7 linked regions of the Ovis aries genome follow. The protein of the gene in region 2 interacts with the protein of the main gene of each other region in a biochemical or structural test. Links are inferred from orthologs where the notes say so. Each region holds a gene or a part of one and is shown on either strand. Other genes may lie near its edges. The genes, in order: NCK1, EGFR, SHC2, STAT3, HBEGF, SH2D1A and PTPN11.

Region 1 (3,500 bases), on a different chromosome or scaffold from region 2:
TTTATTTTATTTTATTTTTGAGGAAACTATCTTGTTTTTCATGGTGGCTGCACCAATTTACATTCCCACCAACAGTATAGGATTTTTCTCCACACCTTCTCTGGCATTTATTATTTGTAGACCTTTCAATGATTGCCATTCTGACTAAGGTGCGATAGTGCTTCATTATGGTTTTGATTTGCATTTTCTAATAGTTAGTGATGTTTAGCGATGTTGAGCATCTTTTCATGTGCATGTTGGCCATCTATATGTCTTCTTTGGAGAAATGCATGTAAGTCTTCTTTTGATTTTTTTTTTTTTTTTTACCGAGTTGTATGAGCTGTTTGTATATTTTGGAAATTAAGCCCCTGTCAGTTGCATTGCTTGCAGATGTTTTCTCCCAGTCCATAGGGTATCTTTTTGTTGTGCTCGTGGTATCCTTTGCTGTGTAAAAGCTTGTAAGTTTGATTAGGTCCTATTTACTTTTATTTCCATTGCCTTGGGAGACTGACCTAAGAAAATATTGGTTTGATTTGTCAGAGAATATCTTGCTTATATTCTAAGAGTTTTATGGTGCCATATCTTATATTTAAGTCTTTAAGCTATTTTGAGTTTATTTTTATGTATGGTATTATGAGAGTGTGTTCTAACTTCATTGATTTACAGGTAGCTGTCCAGCTTTCCTGACACCACTTGCTGATGAGACTGTCTTTTCTCCATTGTATATTCTTCCCTCCTTTGTTGAAGATTAATTGACCATAGAGATGTGGGTTTATTTCTGGGCTCTCTATTCCTTTTTTCATTTTTTAGTCTTGTCAGAACTATATCCATTTTTTAGTCATGACATCTAACTTTGTCTTGAGCCTTTCTCCTATGTCTTTGCTGTTTCATTAAATTCTGCTTTTATTTGTATTATTTCCTTTTATCTGCTTTTCTTTATGTTCTTTTCTAACTGAAAACAGATGATCTGTTCATTAATTTATTTTTAACTTTTCTTATTTTTCTGATGTAACTATGTATAACTACAGATCTCTTTTTTATATACCTCTTTTGCTGCATCACACAAAGTTATTCGTATAGTCTTTAATTTTACTTATAAGTATTTTCAAAATTCTGTTAAGATTTCTTCTCTGACTCATCAGTGTTTGTTATTGTTTTGCTCAGTAGTGTCTGACTTGGTGACCCCATGGACCATAGCCCACCAGGTTCCTCTGTCCGTGGGATTCTCCAGGCAATAATACTGGAGTGGGTTGCCATTTCCTTCTCCACATCAGTTTTTAGAAGTTTCTAAACCTATAAGATTTTTCAAAAGTTATCTTTGTTACGATTATCAGAGAATATGATTTAAGATACCAAGTACACAAAAAATGTGTAGAGATTTTTATGGCATTTGATTGGATTTTGTACATACTCTTGTTTGTGTTCTTCTGTGAAGTTATATTTGCATATGTTTATTGCATCAGACTTAATAGTTGCAATGTCAGTTCTTCTTTAACCTTTCTGATTTTTTGTCGTCTTAATTTACTACCGAGATAAATATGTTAAAAGTTAAACCTTTATGACAATGGATTTGTCAGTTTTTTTCTTGTTTTGTCAATCTATTTTGGACCTATATTAATAGGTATACATAAGCTTAGCTGTTACATACATATATTGAATACAGCCTTTTATCGGGATATAGTGACTTTCTTTATCACTAGTGATAGCTTTGCCTTAAAGTCCTTTTGTGTGTTATTAATATATCTATACCAGTTCTGTATTGATTAGTATTTGCTTGGTATTTAATTTTTTTCCCTGTTTTTATTTTTTAACCATTCACTACTTTAGGTTCTTAGGTGTGTTTCTCTTGACAAGCATGTGGACAACTTCTCAACCTTACATAAAATATTTTCTGTGTGGTTGCAGTGCAGAAGGTGCTGAACAATGGCAGAGGAAGTGGTGGTAGTAGCCAAGTTTGATTATGTGGCCCAGCAAGAGCAAGAGCTGGACATCAAGAAGAACGAGAGACTGTGGCTTCTGGATGACTCTAAGTCCTGGTGGCGAGTTCGAAATTCCATGAATAAAACAGGTTTTGTGCCTTCTAACTATGTGGAAAGGAAAAACAGTGCCCGGAAAGCATCTATTGTAAAAAACCTAAAAGATACCTTAGGTAAGCTATTTTTGTTTTAAAACAAGAACAGCAATACTTTCTTTCTAGTGAATGCTAGAAATTGGTTCTTTGTAGAATTTTGGCATCAGTGGGCAGAACTGACTAGAATATCCCAAGCTGAGATTTCAGCTAGGCAAGGTAAGTTTGGCTCATAGCAAGGGTATTCAAGTCAGGTGTGTTCAAAAAGACCAGTGAAGGTCATTTTCTGTAACTCTAGCTAGTGGAACTCACTCTGATTTTCTATCAGGGGCTTCTTGAGCCGTAGGTACCTATTGGAGTTTAGACAGATTCTCCATATAATTAAGATGAGGATAAATGAATGAGATGCAGAATATCCTCCTTGTCATTAAGGTCACTTATTTTACAGGATACATTGATGGATTTTACATCTAATGGCTTCAGTTCAGTTCAGTTGCTCAGTCGTGTCCATTTGCGACCCCATGAATCGCAGCACTCCAGACCTCCCTGTCCATCACCAACTCCTGGAGTTCATTCAGACCCATGTCCATCAAGTTGGTGATGCCATTCAGCCATCTCATCCTCTGTCGTCCCCTTCTCCTCCTGCCCCCAATCTCTCCCAGCATCAGAGTCTTTTCCAATGAGTCAACTCTTCGCATAAGGTGGCCAGAGTACTGGAGTTTCAGCTTTAGCATCATTCCTTCCAAAGAAATCCCAGGGCTGATCTCCTTCACAATAGACTGGTTGGATCTCCTTGCAGGCCAAGGGACTCTCAAGAGTCTTCTCCAACACCACACTTCAAAAGCATCAATTCTTCGGCGCTCAGCCTTCTTCACAGCCCAACTCTCACATCCATACATGACCATGGGAAAAACCATAGCCTTGACTAGACGGACCTTAGTCGGCAAAGTAATGTCTCTGCTTTTTAATATACTATCTAGGTTGGTCATAACTTTCCTTCCAAGGAGTAAGTGTCTTTTAATTTCATGGCTGCAATCACCATCTGCAGTGATTTTGGAGCCCCCAAAAATAAAGTCTGACACTGTTTCCCCATCTATTTCCCATGAAGTGATGGGACCAGATGTCATGATCTTCGTTTTCTGAATGTTGAGCTTTAAGCCAACCTTTTCACTCTCCTCTTTCACTTTCATCAAGAGGCTGTTTAGTTCCTCTTCACTTTCTGCCATAAGGGTGATGTCATCTGCATGTCTGAGGTTATTGATATTTCTCCTGGCAATCTTGATTCCAGCTTGTGCTTCTCCCAGCCCAGTGTTTCTCTGATGTACTCTGCATATAAGTTAAATAAGGAAGCTGATAATGGCTTGCATTTTGATATTTGCTTTTAAAAACAAACTCTTTTTGTTCTTATATTTGATAAAAGAGTTTTAAGTTGTGGATCGTTACCATATATTAG
Region 2 (4,263 bases):
TAATGGACAATGGATCCATGCTACTGCATAAATGTTTCCTCAACAAAGGCTTAGGTCTCAATCTGTGGCCCTCGTGGAGTACATGCCTGGAACTTCTGTGAGCAGGTCAGCTATGAGAAGTACCCCTGGCTGCACTCCATGCCCACTGCTATGTGCCCCGTGCTCTTCTCTAGCAGACGGTGCTTTCCTGTGGCTGTTTTTTTACAAACCACTTTAAGTCCTTGCTTGGAGTGTTTGGAGGGGACTGAAGCCATGGCCTGCAGAATCTACACAGCCTTCTTCATCCAGGGGCTGGATGAGTTCAACAGGCTGAGTGGTCATCCTGATTCATTAAAATGAAGGAATAAACACAAATAACTCTAAATTTCCAGGAGCCCCAGGTTCCATGGACTTGCTGCCTGGGAAGGAAAGATGCAAGGTCTGCTCCTCCCCATAGGAAAGATCCTGCTCTAACTCCACTTATTTTAAGTTTGTGATTCCAGCTTAAATATCAGGGAGTCCAGAACTAAACCACCTGAATGTCACAGTGGCTCTTGTGAAGAAAAGGAGTCTGACTGTAGAGGGTGGAGGAGTCTGTCCAGGAGGAAGAGGAGCAGTAGGTTAGGGTGGGCTTTGCTGAAGGAATTTAGCTAAAAAGATCCTGCAGCCTGAGAAAGCCTAATTTCTTCCTGCCCAGTCCTTAGTGGGTTTCTCTGTCTTTCTCTTGCTTGAGTTACACCGTGGTGTCTCTGGGCGGATGGGCATCTAGCTAGTATTTATATTAAGCCTTTATTCTAAGCGCTTTGACTTTCTGAAGCGATTTACTTCATGGAACCCTGGCATACTCCTTCGGTGTCCACGCATTCATTCAACAAACATTTTTCCAAGGCTAGTCTCTGCCAGGAGTTGGGTGTCCTTGTTTCGTTTGAATTCGAGGGTGCTTGACGCGACCTGAAGGACCCTCGGGCTGGAGAGCGCATCTCAGAGGCCAGGCACCCACCCCAGCCACGAGGGCGCGGCTAACGAACGTCTTAGCTGCTAGGCCACTTTCGATCCCCACTGAGATCCCAGGGTGCTCAGAGGAGTTGGGTGCCGGAACAAAGCGGTGGTTTCCCCCCAGGCACCCTTATCTGGCCTTGGGCCTAGGGCTCAGCCAGTTTGCCTGGAGTTAGTACAAGTTTGCTCCGCAACTTGGAGGGAGAAAGAGGGGGAAAAGGCAACTTCGGCACAAAAGTGGCTCGAAGAAGGCTGGATCAGGGAGACCGCAGGCGCGTCCGCGGGGGACGCCCGGCTCGGCTCCTCACGGCCCCTCCTGGACACCGGGCTCCTGGGGCAGCCGCTGTCCGCCGCCCCTAGTCCTGCCGGCCGGCGCTCCTCGGGCGGGTTCCTCCTCGGCCAGGCGCGCCGTCCGCCCCTCCTCCCGGGCCCTCCTCCTGCAGCCCGGCCTCCCCGCGCCCCCGCCCCCGCCTCCGCCCCAGCGAGCCAGAAGTCCCGGTGGCTGGCGCAGCGCGCAGCCTCCGCCCCGGCTCGGTGCGCACGCCCGCGGCCCCACGCGAGCCCTGTCCGTCCCGCGCCGCCGTGTCCCGCGCCGCCGAGACCAGCGCACGGCGGCCGCTGCGTCCCGACCGAGTGCGGAGCCCGGCGCGATGCGACTCTCGCGGGCGGGCCGCGCGGCGCTCCTGGTGCTGCTGGCCGCGCACTTCCCGGCGAGTCTAGCGCTGGAGGAGAAGAAAGGTAAGGACGCCCGCGCCGCCGTCCTTCCCGTCCCGGGCGGCCGCGCTTTCCGCCGGGCTGCGGAGGAATGCGCGTCTCGGTTCCGGGCGGCGGGGCAGCCTCCGGCGCGGGGCGCGGGGCGCGGCGGGCCGCGGCGCCCGCAGCGCGGCTCTCCCCTCTGCTCTCCTGCCCTCCGCGGGCTGGACGCCCAGGCGAGCGCGTCCCAGCACGTGCGCCCACAGTCTGCCCGGCCCGGGGGCCGAGGGGGGACACGGAGTCCACCTCGCTCCCTCGGACCTCCAGGACCGGAGCGGCCCTCCGCGCCCGTCCCCGCACCCGCGCCCAGCCTCCGGTCAGGCTCCCGAGCCGGGGAGCCATCCTCCCAGAGCTGCCTTAACCTGGAGGCCCGGAAGCTCGTTCCGGGCACCGGCCACCTGTGCTGCGAGTCAGCGAGGGCCGAGGTACCCGCTGGCCCCAGGGGGCGGCTCGCACGGCGCCTCCACACCCGGGTGCGGCCCGAGCTGCCCCCGCCGTCCGCGCCCCTCCGGCGGTGGACTCTCCTGAGTGGTGGTTTCCCGGGACTCCCGAGACTCGCCCCCACCTGCAGCCCGTGGGCCGCGTGTCCCGGCTTCGAGGTGGATGGGACGGAGGGTGGGACAGGCCGTGGCCAAACAGCCGGGGCTTGGTGCGAACGCCCCAGAGGGGGGAACCCATCCTGGCTGGTTCTCCATGGTTTCAAAACAGGGCTCACAGCAAGCTTTCCTCCTCAAAATCCAGAAATTTTTGTGTCTGGGATGTGTTTTCTAGTTTTGAAGAATTTGACATTAAGCCAACCAAAATATTAAACTTAATTTAAATAAAAAAAATTGATGTCCGTGATTCACGTGTGCCAAATATCCAGACCCAACATGAGCGAGTCTGGCTTCGTGACTGCCGACCATAAACCCACTTGAAATGAGAAACATGCCTCAGAAGGTTTAATTGCCCAATTTCAAGATCGAGCAGCTTGGGTTCCGAGAGTCAGGTCTGTACTTGCTGTTGAGGTCATTGGCACAGGGTATGGTGCTGAGCGAGTTTGATGCGGGAGCGCTAAGGCATAAAGCAGTGGTTCCCAAACTTTGTTTCAAATTAGAATCACTTGGGATTTGAAACAGAACAAACGAAAAACGATGTCTGGCTCCCACCCCCAGACTTTGTCATTTCACTGGTCTGGGTTGAGACCTGATTGTATGAATTTTTAAAAGCTCTTCAGGTGATTCTGCTAGGCAGTCAAGTTTGGAAATCTCTGGCAACAGAGGTGAAATCTCTGGCAAGATTGCTGCCAATGTAAAAAGCTCTTTGGGAACATCTGGAGTTTTAACAATCTTGCAAAGGAAAGAGAATGATGATTTTATTTAAAAAAGAAATTAGTTTTTTCAATGAAAGTCTCTCCTCCTCTGAGTCCCAGGCTGTGGTCCAGCTCCTGAATCTGTTGACAACAGGATTCCCGCCTGAAAGCAGGTGGCAAGGGGACCCCATCCTTATTTTAAACCCTTGGAGTGCCTCCGAAGCATCACTTTTCTCATTTCAGAAATGTTCCCAGCTCTTTGCTGTTACCCTTCTGAACACTACTATTAATGCTTAAAGATTCTTTTCTAAGAAATATATAAATACCACTTAAATTGCCTGTTAGTCCCATGTTTGTTCAAAACAGAATGCTTCTGAATACGATAGTGAGAGTAGGTGAACAAATGTTAAAGTAACGTCAGAAGACCAAAATGTACGGGGCAAATTATTAACAGCAAGTGTTAAAGACCTGTGTTGATCAAATTTGGTAAGTTTTATTCTAGAACATTTACTCATTTTAGAGAGGCTTCTTTGGTTCTAAGATACAGTGTCCTTTGTTCTCACTGCACTTGGTCCTGTCGGACACCGTTTTAAATGTCCTTTTAATCTTTACATCAACCATACAAGTTGGCTCTTGTCATTCTATGTGGGGAAACCGAGGTACAAAGAAGTAAAGTGACTTTCCCGCAGCTTGCAAAAGGCAGATGTTTGTTTGTTTACCTGAATTTTTAAACTCTGGCCCTCTGACCCTGGAGCCCTTCCCTGGGTGCTGCCTGTGTTGATTTGTTGTTCTGGTTTTAGAGGAGCTCTGTCGGTGTGTGTGATGTAGGATGCTGGCAGAGGGAGGAAGAACACTGGGGATGAGGAAGCCTCCTGCCCATGGTCTGGACTCCTTCTCCCCGTGCTCAGGAGGCTCCTTTTGTGGAAGAACTCTGTCACAAAGTGAGCGATGAATGTGGAGATTGCTGGAGGAATGTGGAGCAAGCTCCTTGCTTTTGAAAAACAGAAAGGGGAAGGTGCTGCTCCAGAAGTGATCGTTCATGGTATTCTCAGCTAGGCCATCCGGCCCGGCCCCTCCTCAGATGATATCCTTGGCTCAGTAGATCTGGGCTGTATAAAAGAGAACAAATTTGGGGATTTTGAATCGTATCCAGGGTGAAGCCTCCCTTTCTTTAAGGAGACCAGAGGATGCCCACTCAGTACTGGCCTGAAGGCCAGGAGCCTGTGTCCTCATTCCCATGCTGT
Region 3 (4,269 bases), on a different chromosome or scaffold from region 2:
TGGCTGCAGAGACTGAGGCTCCCAGGGGAACAGAGCCGGACACTGGGGCTGATTCAGACTCCCCACCTGTCCCCCTTTCAGGGCAGCCACATCAGGGCTCATCTCCAGCACAGACGCTGTAGCCCCTCCTCCCCACCCCCACACTGCCCTGCTCCAGGGCATCTCCCAACAGTGCCCCCAACAGTGCCCCAGCACCCCCTGGCTCTCTCTGCTGCCCTGCCAACCCCACCCCAGCCCACTTCCACAGGAAAGCTCCTTTCAGCACCAACGCTGCTCTGTGACCCTGCCTAGAACCATCCAAAGCCAAGCTTGCCCACACAGCCCCCAGATCTTACTCCTGTGCTCCTCTCTCTGCACCGGCCCCACCACATGGGTCTCCGGCCAGTCCCCAAACCTGCCAGCTGAGCCCCTGCCTCAGATTCTCTTTCCCCAGTTGTTTCATGCCTAGGGCCTCCGTGGCTTTAGGGCTCAGCCTAAATGTCATCTCTGAGGGGCACCCCACCCACCAACCCTGCTAAGAGCAGCCAGCAGTCTCTGACATCACTTGATTGGAATTTCTGCACAGCACCTGCCAATATCTGCCACTTGCCTGTTGTTTGTCTATCTCTTGTTTATTTACCATCAGTCTCTCCCTCTAGAAACCTGAGCCCCATAAGAGCAGGGATCAGATGGGTGGGCCCCATTTCCTAGCATGCCATCAGCACCTGGCAGGCTCTGGCATGCATTATTAATAAATGTCTGCAGCATCGATGGCAACGTCCAGACCACTGGAACAGTCCAAAAGCCTGCACCCCAACAACATGAGCATCTGAATTCTGAGCACTTCTAATCCCCACAGCCACGGCCTCCAAGGGGATGTAGTGGGAAGCCCAAGGCATTGCCTGGGAAACATCTCGCTACAAAATCAGTGTTGAATCCAGCGAAGCTGACATTCAGCAAAAGAAGGGACCATGATCAAGTCAGAAGACTCCAGGAGAGAGGAGCAGGTCTAGAATGTGAGGCAGCCTGAGGCCTGCTGGCCAGTCCAAAGCTCTTCCTTTCTAACCCACTCCCAGGGAAGCAGCGGGCCTGTCTGGACCACACTTGGACGTGCAGAAAGTCAAGGCCACTGAGAGCCTCAACAAAGCACCACAAACTGGGGACTTAAAACAACAGAAATGTAAGCCTGGCCCTACAGTTCTAGAGAGGGGAAGCCAGGGATCCAGGCATGGTGGGGGCCCTGCTCCCTGAGGGGAGGGTACTTCCAGCCTCTTCCAGCGTCTGGCAGTGGCGCGCGGCCACCCTGGACGCCCCTTGATTTGTGGGTGCGTCACTCCATTTCTCTCTTTGTTGTCACGGGGCCCCTCCCTGAGCGTTTGTGTCCGAATCTCCCTTTTCTTAGGAGGATAGCAGAGATCGCAGTAGGGTCGCGGTACTCCAGTGTGACGTCATCTTAACTCGATTATATCGACAAAGACTCCATTTCCACATAAAACCATATTCTCAGGCTCAGAAGGTCAGGAATCTGAGGAATACTAGTCAACCTAGTATGGGGTGGGTGGAGGGAGGCTGTAAAAGAAGCGAAGACAAAACACCACACGCAAAGACACAGGACTCCAGGATCCTGGTCCCCAGCCCAGACTGAAACGCTGTCAATATACATCGGACTCTGATGTGACAACGAACTGTGGCTGGGCGGAGTGGCCGGTAGCCTGGGGCGTGAGGAAGCATTTCACGGCGAGGCATCCCACGGGCCGCTCGCCGCTTCCTGATGGTTCATCAAAACTACCCACAGAGGCAGACGTTCATATAAAACCAGGACAAATAAAGACCTGCTTCTCTGCAGCGCCTTCCGAGGCCCCGCGATCTCTCACTTGGAATTAGGGACCTAGCGGGGCTCGGCCCTTCTGCACCCCACGTTGCCCACGGTCTCCGACCCTTCTGTCTAGAGGGAGTTTTCAGTGGGGATCTGGGTACCCGGCCGCCCCCACCCGCGTCTTCCGTCCCCAGTCTCACCCAAGAAATGGGGGGCTACGCCTAACCTGCGCATGCGTGCCCCCCTCCCACCAGCCGCCCTCTCCCCGCCCCTCCCCACGTGACGCCGTGGGAACCTGGACCCCAGCGCCTCCTGGATTGGGGTGGCCAGCAGAGCACGGCGTGGCAGTTGGGGTCTAGGGTGAAAGCGAGAGGAGAGATGGACAGACACCCGGCTTCCCGGGTCCAGAGTGTCCAAGAGAGAGAAGTGGGGGATGGGAACCCCCGCGTCCAGACGGAGGCTCGGGGGAGGACGCGGTCCCAGGGTCCCGCCGACGCACTCACCCTAACGACGTAGGAGACCCCGGGCCCCAGAACCCTGGCGTCCGGGTGTAGCCAACCGTGCGCTGGCTTGTGGATGAAGCTGCCTTTGCGGATCCAGTCGTCGGCGGAGGCATCCGGGGGCCCGGTCGCCCCCCGCGCGCCCCGCGGTCCCCGCACCCCGGCGGCCCGGCAGCGGCTGAGCGCAGGCAGCGGGCAGGGCGCGGCGCAGCGCGGCTCGCAGGCGCCCAGGACCGCGGCCGCCAGCGCCGGGACGCCGGCAGGGCTGGCCGGCTCGGGGTCCGGGTCGGCGGCCCCCGCGCCCCCCGCCGCCCGCGCCGCCGCGGGGCCGCGGCTCAGGAAACCAGCGGGGGCCGCAAACTTCCACTGCGGCATGCGAGGGAGCAGCGCGCAGAAGGTGGTGGGCGCCTCCGGTTCTGGGGCTGCGGGGGGCGCGGGGGCCGCGCGCCCGCCGGGACCCTGCGTCATGGCCGCGGCCGCCGGACCGAGCCCGACCGGGCGCTGCGCCTGGTGCGGAGGAGGCCCTCCCGCTCCCGCGCGTTCGCTCCCCGCCCCCGGCCCGGTGATGTCATCCGTCCGGCCCAGCGCGCAGCCGCGGGGGGCTGCGCCCCTGGGACCACCGGCCCTCGGCGCCCCGGTGCCCGGCGGGGAGACGAGAAACTGAGGCCCGCCGGAGGCACGGGGCTAAATCGGGGTCTGCAGCCTGGGAGGGAGCGAGGTTTCGAACCCAGCACCCGGGCGGTGGCCCCTTACTTAGCCCCCCACAGGTCCCCCAAGTTCCTAAAAGGACGGAGGTGGGAGGAACAGAAATCTCCTTTCTTCTCTTTTCGAAAGGAGGAAATTGAGGTCTGGAGAGGAATGGAGGCTCAGTCAAGGCAGGAGAGCGCCCCGGACCCCCAGGTCGTCCCCCTCCCTTCCCACTGCTGCTGACGGAGGAGGTACTTGAAAATCAGGCCCTGCTAGATTTTGTAACTGGGAACCTGAGATCAGCGAGGGGAAGGGGTGTGCTCTGGGGCACACAGCGCACACTTGGACCCAGTCCGGCTGGCTGCGTCCGAGCGAGCCGAGTCCCCGCTACGCGGCCTCGCCCTGGGCCTCAGTTTCCCCGGCTGTAAGCCGGGGGAGCGGACCAGAGGGTCTCGGGCTCCTCCTGCTGCGTTTCTGCCGAGCCGCTTCCAGCGTCCACCCCACAGAATCCCAGGACCCAGCCTCCAGGACGGGGGCTGGCCGGTCCCCCCGGCCTCTCCAGCCCCGCCCCGTGCTGGGCCGGCTGCCGGGAAACAAAGGGAGGGGGCCGGAGCCGGACCCGGTGGGGATGGAAGCAAAGGAGTGGTGAGGCCGCGCGAGACCGGATCGATAAATTAGAGTGGTGAGATCACCGCTCGGCAGCCGCCCGCGGGCCGGGGGAGGAGGCTGGGGATGCGGGCCGGAGGCTCGCGCGCGCGCGGCCGTGATTGGCCGGCGAACGGGGCGGGGCGGGGGCGGGGGTGCGGCGGGAGGCCTGAGCCTCCAGCCGGGAGAACTATTGTGCTCCCGCGGCCTGGGAGGGGCGTGGCCCTGGGTCAGTGAGGGGGTCGGAGGACGTTTGTTGGGGTCTGCAGCCCCCACCTGGGCTCTGTGCTGTGTCTCTGTTGCGGACTACAGACTTACAGACTAGTGGACTGTGTGAGAGTTGCATTGTGTGTATATTCTGTGCGGATGTGACTGTGTGTGTGTGTGTCTGTGTGTGTGAGAGAGGAGGGAGTCTGGGTCCCCGTCCAGGTGTGTGTTGGGGGATCCTGGTATGTTTACCGTTGTGTGTGTAGGGGTCCTGGTGTGTACACAGGTGTGTGTGTAGGGGTCCCAGTGTGTAAACAGGTGTGTGTAGAGGGGCTCCTGGCATGTGTCCACCTAGTCTGGTGAAGGGTGTGTGTTGAGGTTTGGCACCCAGGCTGGGGAAGAGGGGCCAAGTAGGAGAGAGCTGACCCCCAACTC
Region 4 (3,500 bases), on a different chromosome or scaffold from region 2:
GTTGGGCTGTAGGATAGGGGCAAGTTTAACTTTTCAGGAAACTGCCAAACTGTTCTCTAAAAGTGGTTGCCATTCTACTGCCATTACATGACACATTTGCTTATTCATTTAAAAAATCTTAATTAATTAACTTATTTACTTATTTATTGCCTGTGCTGGGTCTTTGTTGCTGTGCTCAGGCTTTCTGTAGTTGCGGTGAGCAGGGACTACTCTCGAGTTGTAGCTCACAGGCTTAGTTGCCCCTCAGCATGTGGAATCTTCCCAGACCAGGGATCAAACCTGTGTCCCCTGCACTGGAAGGCAGATTCTTAACCCCTGGACCACCAGGGAAGTCCTTGCCTATGCTTTTAAGATACATCTAGAATTTATTCTGATGGTCAGTTTTTTTTAGTGAGAAGGTGATTTTTTATGCTAATTCATGGTTAAAGTCATTAATTTTTGCTTATTCATTTATAAAACCTACCACCTTCCTCAAGTCCCTGGCTGCATAACTATTTTCTAGTTCATTCTCATGGAATTTCCAGATGAATAATTATATCACCTACATTTTCTCTTTCCTAATGTCTTCAGAGGGTAAGTGCATTTTAATTTTTTAAAAGGTACTGTCAAATTTGGAAGAGGATTCCATTATGTGGTAAAGTGTGGAACAACAACTAAAATCAATTTTTCCATATATTCTCAATTTTACATAATAGGCACAAGTTACATTTATAAGTGAAAAAACAAAGAAAGAGGGACTTGAGGTCACAATGGCAATCACAACTCAAATCGCTACCGCCAGCTTCGTGGTTTTGTTCAGGCACGTAAATGACAATGTACAGCAAGGCTTTTGAAAACTTGAAAAAAAAACCCGAAGATCTCTGAATATAGATAAAGCCTCTAAGTTCACATGATGTCTATCAAAGTTCTCGTTTCTCTGTCCCTCATTTGAAGAAAAGGAAGAAAAAAAGGAGCTAAGATAAAGAGTACTTACTTGTCAATGCACACTTTAATTTTAAGTTGATAATTTAGCTCAGGGAATTTAACCAGCAATCTATGTCAAAAAAAAAAAAAAAAAGAGGAAAAAAGTTTCAGAGCAAAGGAAAAAAAATCCAGTTTTAAAAAACAGCCACTAGGTTCCCCCAGCAACTTCTAGTTGAATCTAAAATTCATAACTCTTCAATTCTAAAGAGATGAATCATAATCCCAAATTTTTCTTCCTGCCAGTGCTTCCTTTCATTTTAAGCCAAGCATCACCCCCTTCAGGCCAAAAGGGACTGAAAAAAAAAAGCCTAAGAACTAAGAACTTGGACAAAGTTATGAGAGACACACAAAAGGATAATGAAAGCCATATCATGAAAAACATTACAGGAATACATGCTCTGAAATCGGTATTCTTTCTATTAGACCGGAAACCCAACAGCGTACTACCTTTCTGAGGAGGGAAATTTCACTGCAGAAGGGCAAACCCCAGCTTACCTGTTCTGACTTGAATGTGAAAGTAATTCTCTACCTGCAGGTCCCCCACCCACCGGCCCTGTGACCTCTTAGTGTCTACTATCACTAAGCTTTACTCTTCCCCTTCAAATGCTCAGGAAAAAGTAGGCTCAAAGAATAGAAGATAACTGGCATTATTCTGCTCCTTTCGAATGGTACATGGAGATGCTATGACCTAAGACATTAGGCCTGGAATCAGGAATACAGTGCAACCGAATCATAGGAATATATCCAGGTAACCTCAGAGAGATTCCTGTTCTTTAGCGTTTGACAGGACAATCACAGAGCAAGTTGATATTACACCAAAAAATTCCCTATCCATCACAGTACTGCCTGCGACGGCTGTAAAGAACAACTGCCCACCAACTTTGTTCTGGCCCTGAGGGTGTCCCTTGATACAACATCTGCCAGAAGAGGAGGTGCCGCAGCCCACCTGACTTTAGTTGTGAACTGGACACCGGTCTTGATGACTAATGGCCGGTCAGGATGCATAGGCATGCAGGGCTGCCGCTCCACCACGAAGGCACTGGAGGGGACAGAGAAAGGCAGTGGGTCACACAAGACGCAGTGGGCTGGTCCCTGTCCCGTTCCTCGGAAATTGAACAAGCTCTCGTTGAAGAACATTGGTGGGGGAGGTGATGGGGGAAACGGGCAACGGCTCTATGTTACCTTTTCATTAAGTTTCTAAACAGCTCCACGATTCTCTCCTCCAGCATTGGCCGGTGCTGTACAATGGGGTCCCCTTTGTAGCTAACCTTCTGCTGCAGTTCCTCCAGTTTCTTAATTTGCTGGCGGGTCTGAAGCTGAGATTCTGCTAATGAGGTTATCCTGCCAACAGGATAAGGATGTTCTCGGTTACCTAAGTGGTTGTATATAAATGAGCTGGAGAAGGGGAAGGGAATAATACCACAGGTACTCTCATGCAGTCATCCGACATAAGAAAGGAGCATTTTTTTCATTATGGGAATATATGAGTAGCATAACATTGACCATTTCTAAATACACAGTTGAGTGGCACTAGATTAGAAAAGGGAAAATTATTTTGCCCTTTTTGTTTTTTTGGCCATGCAGCATAGTTTGCAGGATCCCCACCAGGGATTGAACCCCGGTCCTGGCAGTGAAAGTAGCAAGTCCTAACTTTGGCCTGCCAGAAGGGAACAGCTACCCACTCCAGTATTCCTGCCTAGAGAATTCCATGGACAAGGAGACTGGCAGGCTACAGTCCATGGGGTCACAAACAGTTGGACACAACTAAGCAACCTTCATTTCACTTCCTAAAAGTTTACTTTTCAAAGAAGGAGGCAGACACAGAGGAAGACGTGCCAAAACTTACACCACTAGGAGTGAGGTAACCAACGGAAAGTTAACACATTAGAACATGAAATATGGGATTTGGTGCTCACTTTCTTCAGCCTAACTTGTTTTTGTACCAAATGTGAGTACTGGGGAAACACAGGATATCTGACAGCCCAAAAAGATAGGTCTGAACAGCTCTGTCCCTCACTGTCTATGCAAGCTTGACCAGGTCCCTTCACCCTCGTGGGCCTTGATATCCCCTTGCCTGAGAGACAGGGTTGAACTGCACGATCCCCAGGAGCCCTCATCTTCCATGGATGACTGGATGTGACATTAGTTTCCAAATATTGATAACATGCATACAGAAAAAGTAGACAGGGAGACAAAGGCTGATTATGTCTGCCCCCAAGGAGGGAGAATATCAGTGGCTCTCTCTGATGGTCCCCCACTAGTTTAGTAAAGACCCCAAAGAGACAGAGTGGAAGGCAAGGGGTGGAGAAGGACAGCACCAGGACTCCTGAGCTCACAGACTCCCTTCTGGCACCTACTGGGTTGGCCAAAATGTTTGCTTGGTTTTCCCATAAGATGTTATAGAAACATCTCAATACATTCCTAGAACTTATAAGTTATTTGGTTCCCTGATTAGAAAGCATTTAAAACTGCTTTCAATCAATGAGCAAAGCTCAGGGTTAGTTAGATGAACAAACAGGCATCTCATGTAGAGCTAT
Region 5 (3,929 bases), on a different chromosome or scaffold from region 2:
AGATGTCCTGTTTATTGCTTTCTAGGATGGGGTGCCCAAGAGGCAGAAAGACGGAGAGCAAAGAACTATCAAAAGGAACTAGAACAATGATGGCTCTCTCCATTCTTTCCATGCTTCAAAGGGGAAAAACAATCTCACACAGACATCCAGCTGGGACTGACCTTGGGCTATGCCCATCAGCCCAGGGGTCTGACGCCAGTCTTCCCTCCCCTGTCCCAGCAGAAGAAAAGGTGCCTGCTGTCTATGGCTATAGGCACATGTCTGGCAGAGGGATGAACATCATACATTATTAGACTGAAGGCTTAGGATTCTGGAAGTAGAATTTACTTCAAAATATATGGCTTTCCATTTTCAGATGAAAAACCTGAGGTCCCAAAAGGCAGTGACTTGACCAAGATCATGCAGGTTTGGGATCTGAAATGTGGTCTCTGGACTCCATATCCAGCACTCTTCCCCAACACACTAAGCTGCCTCATACACCCCAGCAGTGTCCTCCTCCAGACAAGCCCAGAGCACCTGGGATGCTGAGCCAGGAACCAGACAATGAATGGGCTCTGAAGTCAGCAGAATGGTGCTCGAATTACAGTCATGTGATCCTGGGCAAGTCCCTTAATCTCTCTGAACCTTGGGGTTCTTGGTGAAAAGTGAACAGGCTTTCCTATTTCAGAGGGTTGCAGCAGGATTAATTAATTCACAATAACATGTTAAGTGACTAGAAGACAGGAGACACTTAGTAAATGGTAACAGTTACTTATTTCAGGTGACAGGATCCCTAGACTTGAAAAATAGTCTTTGCCCAGCAAACCTGAGGAAAGAGAAGAGACAGGTGCCAATAGTCCCATAGTCCCCTGCTCCTACAGTGCATACCCAGGCCCCTTCAGAACTCAGAAGAGGCACATGGTCCGAGGAAATTAGTGACCACAGTTGTGGTAAAACTGAGGCAGGAAGAACAAGCCAATCAGAAAAGGGAGGGAGAGAGTGACAGGGTGACAGCCAAGCTCCTGCTGGGGAGAGAGAGCAGTGAGTCAGGTCTGCGAGGTATGAGGAGCAGCTGTGTGGGTGGAGAGTGAGTCACAGCCCAGCTCTGCCCTGCCTAGGAGAGGGCCAGGAGAATCCAGGTTGTTCAGGCAGGGGTGACCCCCGCCCCCTAGAGGGCTACTGTGAGAGGATGGAAAGTGAGAGCCCAGCCTCAGCTTTGGCGTGGACAGCACCTAAGGGAATCCCTGGGTAAGGAAAAAGAAGCGTGGCAGAGAAGCAGGCGGAGTTAGAACAGGTGGGTATCTTTCCAACCAAATATAGTCATTCCAGGGCTCCAGGGCTCAGTCCCAGCTCCACCCTCAAGAATCTCTGCAGGTGACTGGGGGCAGGAAAGCAGGCAATACTGGAGCCTCTGGACTCTGCCCTGTGCTTGTATGTACTTGGCCACAGCACCTTTGCTGGTTGAAGGATCCCACCTGGCCCTTCCTCCTCTGGAGCCCTTCTCAGGGTCTCCAAGTGGTCAGGAAGTATCCAGCCTTGTGAAGGACTTGTGGACACCCAGCATATCAAAACAGCTCTCTAGGGTTCCAGTGCTCACCATTCACAGCCTCCCCAAGAGTGCTGGCCTCACCTGGCAGGACCAAGTGTTCCTCATTCCCCACGGTTTCCCAAACCTGGAGACAGGTGGATGGAGACTAATCCTGCACACCTTGTATGTGCCTAGCATCTCCACATCTGTGATTTTATACATAATAGTCAATTAATGTGGAAATTAGATCTTGTGCACATTTTTACATAGAAACTCTAGGGAAAGCATCTCAACCAGTCCTTGTTCCTGTCACCCAGCTTACCTCAGAGAAGAACACACAAAACCCAAGCACCTTGCCTGTCTCAATTTGCCCCCAAGTATGCAGAAGGGCAGCAATGTGGCATGTGAGACCGGAGGGCAAGAAAGACAACAGGACCTACGTTCTAGGATCCCCCAGGGAGCTTGTCAGGCCAAGAGGCTTTTCCTTGAAGTCCTCTCTTGAAAAGCCCCAAACCACAGGTGTGCCCAATCGGCATAAATACCAGATTCTATGATAGTTCAACTGATCACCAGGGTCCGAGGATGGGCAGCCCCCACACCCACCTCTGAAAAGGTCCAGGTTTGCCTCTTCCAAGTCCAGGACTTCCCGGCCTTGGGCACCTCCCGCGGGCAGCAGCTGGTCCGTAGATTGAGTAGGGGAGTCCAGATTGCTGGTTCCAGCAGCCAGGCCTCTCCGAAGCCGCTCCAGGCTCTCGCCAGTCACCAACGCCGAAAGCACTGCGGGAAAGGGGCGAGGCCGCCTCAGACCCCCAGCCCAGACCCCAGTAGCCATGCACCGCGGCCGGCTCCAGCCAGCCAGGGAGCACGGGCCCCACCAAGTGGCTCACGCCGGGGACGCTGCAGCGATCTTCCCCTGTGCCCCCAGCAGAGAGTCCCCATCCCCCCAGACCCCCGGGAGCGGCGGCAGCCCGCTTACCTGCAGCAAGAAAGAGCTTCAGCACCACCGACGGCAGCAGCTTCATGGTCCTGGACTCGGCGGAGGAGGCGAGGCAGCAATCACTTTGGGGGGCGGCGGCCACCGGACGCTGGCACGGGAGCCGGGCGAGAGAATCTCTGGAGATCCCGGCGGGCACGGTCGGCTGCTGGCCTCTGGGTGCAAGCCTGCCTGGGATTTGCGCGGAGCTCCCGGCCGCTGGGCGTCTCTCTATTCACTCCGTCTGTCCGACCGCCCGAGCCCTGGTGCCTCAAGCAACAGAGCCAGCCGCTTGCCGCGCGCAGCTCCCTGGGTCGACTGAGCGCTTCTCGGCGTGCAGCCTGGAATAAGGCTCCAGGAGGCGCCGAGGCTCCGCCCCGCCCCCCGCGGCCCCTTCCCCCCTCCCGCTCTGGGATGCCGGCCGGGCTCCAGGCGCCGACCGCTCAGCCCCCGACCCCGCGGGCGCGGCGGGGAAAGGGGGCGGGAGAAAGGGGCGGCGCTCACATATTTTGGGACTAGGCCAGTGTAGCCGCGGCCTGACTGTGGGTAGGGCTGCTGACCGGCAGGTGGCGGGGACCAGTTCCTACCTTTCCCCAAATGCTGGTCCGCCGCGGCAGCCTTGTGACCGCTGAGCTGCGCTTCGCCTTTGGACACCCCTCGTTCTTGCTTCTCTTCCAGGCCTGGTCCCTCTGGTTATCCGTGCTCTAAACCAGAGACCTCCGCCCATGTCTTCTTCTGAGTTTCAGAAACCTGCTTCTTTGCCTACCCACAAATCAAGGAGCAAATAATAATTAATTCATTTATCACTTAAAAATTAAACACATGAATGCCAGCAAGTGTCGTAAGCCTAAGGTTACCAGAGTTGCAGCTGCAGTCATCTGGTATCAACCCAGAAAAAGCAAAGAAAGTTAGTATTCTTTCATCCACCGGAGTGGCTTCTTTCCATCTTTGTCCCAGATGACATAGTCTCCTTTAGGATTTTTGAACTCTGGATTATAATTCCCAGGCTTCTGGGATTGAAGAAACACAGGCTGTGAAAAAGCTTCATACTTTTCTTTGTCTTTGAATGCCATCTTCTTCAACAGAAAAGCTGAGCCCCCTCTCACAGGACCCAGCTGGCTGGCCTAGGTTGCCACCTTCAACAGGTGCCAGGAGATTGATGTGTTTCTCTTCCAATCTATGTATTTTTACAGAAGTCCTCTGGAGTCAATGTCCTAACCCAAAGAAATAACTCTCTCAGTAGGCATTTCAGCTCCCAGGGACATGCTGGGGCGGGAGTTATATGACACAAGGCTGGGTTGGCATTCAGAGCCCTCAAATTGTGCCAGATAGAGCTGCTTGCCTGCTTCAGCCCATGTGTAGGGATAAAAACAGGCCTGCTATTTATACACAGCCTGTTCCACTCTCCCTCCCCATCCATAATTCTGCAGGAGTCCATGGGGCTCTGCC
Region 6 (4,212 bases), on a different chromosome or scaffold from region 2:
CTAAAAAAGAGGAAATGAAATGTTTACGTTTATCAGAAGGGATCCTTGGCTCAAAAAAAAGCTGAGAAACTGTCATAAAAGGCACTGTATCATTGTGTCTTCCCTCTGCAGCAGTCTGGCCATTAGCCTCTAGGACTTGGAGGCCCAGTGTGCCCACTGAAAGATATGTTAGGGGGACTCCCAATTTGCCGACTATTTTCTGCTACTTCATAAAAAGGTTTGCATGGAGAACCTACAGTCATAAAAACTGCATTTAGGCAAGATTCACTTTGGACAAAAACTTAATCTGCGAATTTCCCATCTGTCTAAGTTAATTCCTTACGTGGCCCTGGCCAATTTGAGTAATAGGCTAAGATTATCCTTCTCTCTTGCATCTTTTACCAACTATAATCTTCTGCAGAAGATAGAGCACACATTATTATTCTTGTTTTAGAAATATGGAAACCAAGACCTACAAAAGTTGAGTGATGTCCCAGAGGCCACATCCTGGCCTCCTGATATCAGCCCAAAAGCCTACTGCCATAAAGAATTTGCCTTGACAGTTCATTCATTAATTCAGAAACATTTATTGAGTGCCTGTTGCATGCCTCATGATACCTGTTGCATGCCAGGCTGTGTTCCTGGTGCGGGAGATGGTGTCTCTGCCCCAGAGAGATTACATTGTAGCAGGAGAGCCCAGCAAGACAAAAGTAGACAAGCAAACGTCAGACAGCTGAAAGCTCCCAGAAGAAAACTAAAGTGACAGATTATAACTGGGACAGGGAGAAGGGACTTATTTTAGAGGCTAGTCAAGGAAGTCCTCTCTGAGAGAAGAGGGAGAAGGAACAGTTAAGTGTGAAGATCCTAAGCAAGGAGCAGCTTGGCAAGCTCGAGAAACAACAAAGAGGCCAGTGCGTCTGAAGTCTTAGGAACATCCTGCCACACACTGTCCCCGGCTCTTCCTTCCCTTCCCAGGCCTTTTGTACCTTAATTTTTACCTCTAGGTTGAGGGTCCCATTACCTCCTTTGGTGAGCTTTCCTAAAGAAGCTCCTCTCACCAGTTCACTCACTCCTCCACCTTCTATTGATAAGAAAAGAGCCTAGGAATACGAGTTGGCTTTCACTGACCTACCCCAGTTTTCACTTTCGAGAAACAATAATATAAGGAAAACCTAAAATCTGAGCCCAAGGGATTCACTAGCTTGCACATATATCCCTTGTAGCTTTTATAACAAACGTTTTTAGCATGGCCTGAGAGTTGCCACAAATATGCCTTGCCCATTTAAAAATAATACAATAAACAATGAAAATCCTCTAACACCAGGCTCAATACAATCTCTCATCAATGACCTAAAGGAACTTCAAAATCTTGCCATGTATCATCAGACACCAAAATTACAACCAAGCATTTTCCCTCATTTTGTTTCTGTCTAGAAGCTACTGTACAGGGCTGCTGCTTTCATGAGTGTTTTTACCCTGCTAACAAAGAGTGATTGAGCTAGGGACTTCCTTAGAAACACCCCGTGAGTACTTAAAGATATTGACTGAAATATATATACATTTTATATATATATATAATATATTATAATAAAAAGTACTGAAAGAGAGTGAAAAAATAATAACAACAACAGCTTACTTTTACTGAACACTTAGTATGCATCAGGTCCAGTGCTAAATTTTCTACGTGCATTACAGCATTTAATGCTCAGTCCTATGAGGTAGGTAGTAATATTACACTTTTTGGACAAGAAAACTGAGGGACTGTGAGGTTAACTTGCCAAAGCCAGCATCAGACTAGCACAAGATTAGGTCTTAGCTCTGCCTGACCCTGGAGCCCTGGAGCAAAGATGAAGGTGCATCTGATTCAAAATGGGGCTTTAGACCAAGAGATGCTTAGGTAAAGGGCAAAGCTGAATCATACCAGGGTGCTTTCCCTCCATGTCCTTTACGACTATTGTCTCTCCCAGCGTTTATCACGGAAAGGCCCTATTTCTGAAACCCCACCCCACCCCCCTCCAACTCCTGTAAAGAAAGCTAATTAAGCAAATCCAGAGAGGTGGTTTTATTCAGAAACGTCCCTCTCTCCCACATCCTGACCTAACTGGTATTGCTGTCTTAAAGGATTCCATTTCTTAGTCTTCTTCCTCTCCTTGAATTTGAAATCTTCCTTTGGGAAGATACCTTCAAAGCCATTGCCAGAGGGCTGGAGAGAAAGGCCTCTCCTCTGAGGAGCTGGTGGCCCTATATCTGGCCATTCCCTCATCCCAGGCCTCCACCTTGCTGGCCTCTACCAGAGGTCCAACCTGAAGCCAGGAGCCTGAGTCCTTTTGGCAGCAAAGGTAAATTCTAGGCTCCTTTTCCTCCACTGCAAAGAGCATTCCTACAGCCGCCCCCAAAGGCGCTGGAGAAGACCCTCTGAAGAGCAGGAAGCCCAGGCGAGACAACCCCAGTGAGGGACGTGAGCCGCACGGTGGGCAGTGGGGGCTCCAGGGCCCCGTCATGTACTCACAGCACACACAGACAGTACACGCCGGGAACACTCTCGCTGTCCCTCAGCAGATAGCTGCCATCCAGGCCCGTGGCGAGCAGGAGCTTCTCCCCCGTCTCCCGGCTGATCTTGCCATGATACACAGCCACCGCGTCCATGGCCAGGGGACAGTAGCAGGGAAAGGCCGCTGTTGCTGCTGCCGCCGCAACCAGGCACGACTCAGCCACCTGCCTCCCTGTTCAGCCAGATGTTCAAAAAAGAGAAAGGAGCGCCCCAACAACAGGATGTTGTCTACCTGCCTCACAGCCTCCTTCTCGCACTTCAGTGAAAACCAGGTCAGCAGTTTAGCAGCTTGGCTACTGCCCTAGGGTTCAATTCCCCCCTCCCCTCTCTGCTCCGCCTCTGCCACAAAAGGGTTGGGGTGGATGGATGGACAGAGAGGGGAGGACTATTGGAAGAAGGTCCTTGCAGGATGTGGCCTGTGCTCCCAATGCATGCAGACACGAATGCCTGGTAATGTTTCTGTCCTTGTAGTTTTCCCAGGAAGGCCACCCTGACTTAGCTTAAATAGTCCCCAAAGGGGTTAATGAGACAGGGAAGCCGTGTTGATCTTCATGTGGGGCAGAAACATACTGACAGAGAATGAAAGGCCCAAAAGCTCTGAGACCAAAACACAGAGGTCATCAGTATTGTCAGTGGGTGATCCCCACTGAGCACAGGCAGGAGGCTCCTAGGGAATCAGAGGCAAGAAGTGAACAGCGGACTTGGGATCCACTGCCTCCCCTCCCCAAACCCTCCCCCTTCTCTTTGACTCCTCCTAGTCATCTCCAGCAATCTTGATCCTGAACAAATCAAACATTTCCAGGCTTCTTGTCCAAGATCCCAAAGTGCTGGTTGAGGTACAAAAATCAGTCTGTGTCCAAAGATGTTCCAGATGTATCTATTTGATGGGCCTTAGATGAGAGAATAAATCATTTCATTGGTGTTTTGCCTTCATGCGGACTTGTCTGTGCCTTTTGACATACAGGGCCTACCTTTTAGCATTTGGGACATCAAACTTAAGTCCATTGTGAGTGTTGATAATTGCGTTGTATCTTTTATCATCTGTAGTTAGTAGAGAATATGGTTTTTGTTCAATTGATGCTAAGCTATCAAATTTTTTAGAACCTTTCAACCTTTGTTTCCTTCTCTCTTGTATTTCAAGATGTGCTGTTAAGTAATATTTCCCCCAAACTTCCTCATTTTTCACTAGAACGAGACCTTGTTTAATGTTTGAAGCTGAATGCTCTTCTACATTTTTTCTTTTGAGTGTGTAACATACTTTTCTTTTTCTTTTTAGATTGTTTTTGATGTAGACCATTTTTAGTCTTTATGGAAGTTTTTATAATATTGCTTCTGTTTTATGCTTTGGTTTTTTGGCTGCAAGGCATCTGGGATCTTAGCTTCCCATGCATGTATGCTAAGTCGCTTCAGTTGTGTCCAATTCTTTGCAACCCTGTGGACTGTAGCCCACCAGGCTCCTCTGTCCATGGGATTCTCCAGGCAAGAACAGCGGAGGAGATTGCCATGCCCTCCTCCAGGGGGTCTTCATCAAACCCACACCCCCTACATCAGAAGGTGAAATCTTATACCACTGGACCACCAGGGAAGTCCCTGTAAAATACTTTTTAAAATTAAAATTTAAGTAGCTGAAATTATGTTGTCTGTTGTGTCTCTTCAACAATGTCACACCTAGTTCCTTGAGA
Region 7 (3,500 bases), on a different chromosome or scaffold from region 2:
TAATACTGTAAATGGAAGTTAACAAAAGAAATCAACTTCCAAATAAACAGCAGAGTGTGAGATCGGTATATAAAGACTGGAAAATTTTCTCAGTCTTGCTCATTTGCATTTCCCCTAGATTCCCACCTCTGTTTTGCATTTCCTCCTTCCAACGCTGCCTTGGTGTCTCTTCTTCCCTTACCCTGCTCTCCACCTCTGACTGTCATTTTCTTTTTTTCCATTTATTCCTCTGTAGCAGTCTTTTACTCCCAAAGGTCCTTAATGCTTCATATTAATAATTTTGGAAATACCTGGATTTCAGCATAATTAATTATGCTGAATGAGTTTTGTTCGTTTGCTTAATCTAAAAATCAGATGGGTGTAATATTTTTAAGTCTGCCACTGAAACCTACTAAATTAAAGTACTTCCTACTCTAGTCCCAAATCAAGTAGCAAGTTCCTACATTGAATCAAACAGTATATTGAAAGAAACAACATACCACAAAATCTACTTTATTTCTTTTTATTAGTGGATTTTTTTTTTAATTTATTTTTTGCCCCACTCTGGCATGCGGGATCTTAGTTCCCTGACCAGGGAATCAAGGCTGTAACCCTTGCCTTAGGAGCATGGAGTCTTAACAACTGGGATCACCAGGGAAGTCCCCACAAAATCTAATTTTAAAAACACAAATACAATCTTAGCCTACATATTTTTCTTTTAAATCCAAAGGTTCATATACCAAATAGCTAATGCGCTGACACATAATGGCACTGACAAGTATTGGCTGAGTGGACGAATACACATACTCATTCGGTACTCTTGGGATGGGATTCCTGGGGACATCCAATTTCTATAGTCTACATTCTGCAATATTTAAGTGATTCTACCTCCCCTACCTCTCATCCCCAACAAAAGGGCAGCAATAAAGGTATTTTGGTTTTAACTAGTTCCTAAATCCAAATTACAACTTCAGATTTAGGGTCAGAGGGACCATATACGGTAAGTAACAGGAAGACGTGAAGTGCCAGATAAGCTGGGAGGGAAAGTCCCTAAATTCTCCAAAACCAAAGCTTCTGAATGAAAGAGAGAGCTTTTCCCCCAGCTTTTCTGAACAAGACGACCTTATGGTCTTCAAAATATTCCCAAGTAATTTCCCATCTGTACCAGTGGTACTGCATTCTACTTATTAGAAGTCCTTCTTTTGAGGCAACTTCATGCTTTAAGTAAGTACTCCTGGCCCAAATCAGGAGTGTGATTTGGGAAGGTGAATATGAAATAGCCTACAGTAACCATCTAAAGGCTTCCTGGTGGCTCAGACAGTAAAGAATCTGCTTGCAATGCGTAAGACCTGGGTTCGATCCTTAGGTCGGGAAGATCCCCTGGAGAAGAGATGGCTACCCGCTCCAGTATTCTTCCCTGAGAATTCCATGGGTGGAGGAGCCTGGTGAGCTACAGTCCATGGTGTTGCAAAGAGTCAGACATGACAGAGAGATTAACACTTCTAAGTTCTATTCTAAGTTCATAGCACTTACATTAAGACAACAACCTAAAGCGGTAAAGTTCAAAACCACAGCAGAGCTTGTTAATCATTTGACCATGCCTTTCTATATCCACACTGTTTCTGAAGACGTTTTTGTACAAGGAAACAACCTAGTGAGTATTTGTGCATGGACTGAGAACCTGCTGAACTAACTAACTCGGGCTAACCACGCTTTGATAACGTGGCCGCTGCGCTGCTAGGCTAGAAGCCTTTCAGTAAGGTTGTAGGTCCCCTTTTTGAGAAGCTGAATTTTCCAGAAGGTGATAAACAGGGTAAAGAAGGCAAATACCACTGTTTAGATATCACATCTATCCAGTGAGCAGCACGGTGATGGGGCTGGGGTTGGGGGTGGGCAGTGAGCTAAGGACAGCTCCCAAAAGAGCAGTCTCCTCAGTCCTCAGGAACTCAGCTTTGTGTGTTATAAAGAGCTTCCAATGGAAAGGCTCCAGTGCCACACTGTTCATTATGTATGGCTTATTAAAAATGGAAATGTTTCTGTTTCCAACTTGACCACACTGGTGGGTCCAACCCTCATGTGCTATAAAGAGTAAGGCATTCATTTAAGAGATGGAATCAGGATGAATAAGGCCTGGATCAAAACTGGAACAGGCTGGAAACTTTGAGGCTTGGAGTTCTAAGCCTACCAGGTGAACCTGGGGAAATCCCAAACCCATCTGTCAGGCTTGTTGCCCCTCCCTGAGCTACGCCATAGTGAAAAATCAGAGTTGTGCGGTAGGGAATAATTCATTTCCAGAGAGGTCCTTCCTGGTTGGGAACTTGTTTCTCCTTTTCAGATAAAGACAGTTATCTAGCAAAGCCTGTATTCTCTCTCAGAAGGAGAGCATATCCAAGCCAAGCTGTCCAGAAAAAAACACCAAAAATCTACATGTCAGCCGTGTAGGCTTGGTACCTGCTCTTCTTCAATCCTGCGCTGTAGTGTTTCAATATAATGCTGGACGGCCATATAGATGAATCGGTACTGTGCTTCTGTCTGGACCATCCCTGACCTCTGTGACCGCACCATCTGAATGGTTTTGGGAACGTCGATGTCACAGTCGACACCTACAAAGCAAAGCACCACGGAGCATCAGGAGAAACTGCAGAGACAAGGTGAAGCAGTTTAAAGCACAACTTTGAGCAGAGATAAAGCAAATTTACACGTTCGTGTTTTAACCGAAGCTGTTCTAAGGGCTACGGCATTGGCCTTCTGACCAACAACAACGATCCTAGAAGATTATAGGGTCAGGGGTCGGCAGTGAGGAACCCCACAGGTTACACCACCACCCTGTACCATCAGCAAAGAGCGAGCAGATGGACAGAGACCACCACTCTCCTAGGCTGTGTTTTATGCCAAAAGCTCAAACAGCATCACTTCTGTTCTTGGGCAAACACATTGAAAGTTGAAGTCTCTGGCCTAGATTTTTGTGAAAATACTTTAACGTTCAATTTTCTTCTGCAGGCTATTTTCACTAGCACTTTCCTTGCATAAACTGAAAACAGGAATCATAGCTTCTTGCCCTCCAAATGACCTACCTTTCTCTCTGATGATGTCAATAAGAATATCAATCACAATGAACGTCCCTGTCCGGCCAATTCCAGCACTGTGGGCAGAAGGACGAAGAGCGAGGACAATGGAGTCATTCATGAGGGTTTTATGCTCAAAACCAAGCTATTAATACTAACCGAAACAATGTCTGCTCTTGGGAGTATTTATAAGACTGTCTATTTATATTTGCGAACATATTAGCAAACAGCCCAGGGCTTTGGACTCAGTCCATCCTGCACTTGGAGCCCAGCTTCTCCAGCACGGTGTGCCTGAGGCAAATCCCTTAACCTCTCTGACCCTCTGTTTCATCATCTGTGAAATGGGCTATTGTGAGTATCAAATATCAGTAATGGGTGAAAAACAACTGATGCAGATGCTGGTATGGAGCAAGGGCTCAATAAAAGGGAGCTTTTATAGAACTGAATAAATAATGT

The links.
Region 1: the proteins of EGFR (region 2) and NCK1 form a complex in vitro, tested with the Homo sapiens proteins (2 studies listed by BioGRID and IntAct, with this or other methods). The link is inferred for Ovis aries from reciprocal best matches to the Homo sapiens genes EGFR and NCK1.
Region 3: the proteins of EGFR (region 2) and SHC2 form a complex in vitro, tested with the Homo sapiens proteins (2 studies listed by BioGRID and IntAct, with this or other methods). The link is inferred for Ovis aries from reciprocal best matches to the Homo sapiens genes EGFR and SHC2.
Region 4: the proteins of EGFR (region 2) and STAT3 form a complex in vitro, tested with the Homo sapiens proteins (2 studies listed by BioGRID, with this or other methods). The link is inferred for Ovis aries from reciprocal best matches to the Homo sapiens genes EGFR and STAT3.
Region 5: the proteins of EGFR (region 2) and HBEGF form a complex in vitro, tested with the Homo sapiens proteins (2 studies listed by BioGRID and IntAct, with this or other methods). The link is inferred for Ovis aries from reciprocal best matches to the Homo sapiens genes EGFR and HBEGF.
Region 6: the proteins of EGFR (region 2) and SH2D1A form a complex in vitro, tested with the Homo sapiens proteins (2 studies listed by BioGRID and IntAct, with this or other methods). The link is inferred for Ovis aries from reciprocal best matches to the Homo sapiens genes EGFR and SH2D1A.
Region 7: of the proteins of EGFR (region 2) and PTPN11, one has a biochemical effect on the other in vitro, tested with the Homo sapiens proteins (4 studies listed by BioGRID and IntAct, with this or other methods). The link is inferred for Ovis aries from reciprocal best matches to the Homo sapiens genes EGFR and PTPN11.

Annotation. Positions count from the first base shown.
Region 1 is NC_056054.1:252,892,419-252,895,918, reverse strand, and holds part of NCK1 (cytoplasmic protein NCK1), read left to right. Parts: intron 1-1,884; 5' UTR 1,885-1,902; coding exon 1,903-2,128; exon of another isoform or gene 2,129-3,500. UniProt on the Homo sapiens protein: Adapter protein which associates with tyrosine-phosphorylated growth factor receptors, such as KDR and PDGFRB, or their cellular substrates. Maintains low levels of EIF2S1 phosphorylation by promoting its dephosphorylation by PP1.
Region 2 is NC_056072.1:1,092,638-1,096,900, reverse strand, and holds the start of EGFR (epidermal growth factor receptor), read left to right. Parts: upstream 1-1,463; 5' UTR 1,464-1,625; coding exon 1,626-1,713; intron 1,714-2,371; exon of another isoform or gene 2,372-4,263. UniProt on the Homo sapiens protein: Receptor tyrosine kinase binding ligands of the EGF family and activating several signaling cascades to convert extracellular cues into appropriate cellular responses.
Region 3 is NC_056058.1:40,808,936-40,813,204, forward strand, and holds the start of SHC2 (SHC-transforming protein 2), read right to left. Parts: upstream 2,801-4,269; 5' UTR 2,764-2,800; coding exon 2,299-2,763; intron 1-2,298. UniProt on the Homo sapiens protein: Signaling adapter that couples activated growth factor receptors to signaling pathway in neurons. Involved in the signal transduction pathways of neurotrophin-activated Trk receptors in cortical neurons.
Region 4 is NC_056064.1:42,164,038-42,167,537, forward strand, and holds part of STAT3 (signal transducer and activator of transcription 3), read right to left. Parts: intron 2,305-3,500; coding exon 2,146-2,304; intron 2,003-2,145; coding exon 1,910-2,002; intron 1,034-1,909; coding exon 974-1,033; intron 1-973. UniProt on the Homo sapiens protein: Signal transducer and transcription activator that mediates cellular responses to interleukins, KITLG/SCF, LEP and other growth factors. Once activated, recruits coactivators, such as NCOA1 or MED1, to the promoter region of the target gene.
Region 5 is NC_056058.1:49,205,813-49,209,741, forward strand, and holds the start of HBEGF (proheparin-binding EGF-like growth factor), read right to left. Parts: upstream 2,801-3,929; 5' UTR 2,530-2,800; coding exon 2,484-2,529; intron 2,285-2,483; coding exon 2,111-2,284; intron 1-2,110. UniProt on the Homo sapiens protein: Growth factor that mediates its effects via EGFR, ERBB2 and ERBB4. Required for normal cardiac valve formation and normal heart function. Promotes smooth muscle cell proliferation. May be involved in macrophage-mediated cellular proliferation.
Region 6 is NC_056080.1:108,291,088-108,295,299, reverse strand, and holds the start of SH2D1A (SH2 domain-containing protein 1A), read right to left. Parts: upstream 2,801-4,212; 5' UTR 2,626-2,800; coding exon 2,489-2,625; intron 1-2,488.
Region 7 is NC_056070.1:61,907,378-61,910,877, forward strand, and holds part of PTPN11 (tyrosine-protein phosphatase non-receptor type 11), read right to left. Parts: intron 3,122-3,500; coding exon 3,054-3,121; intron 2,583-3,053; coding exon 2,431-2,582; intron 1-2,430. UniProt on the Homo sapiens protein: Acts downstream of various receptor and cytoplasmic protein tyrosine kinases to participate in the signal transduction from the cell surface to the nucleus. Positively regulates MAPK signal transduction pathway. Dephosphorylates GAB1, ARHGAP35 and EGFR.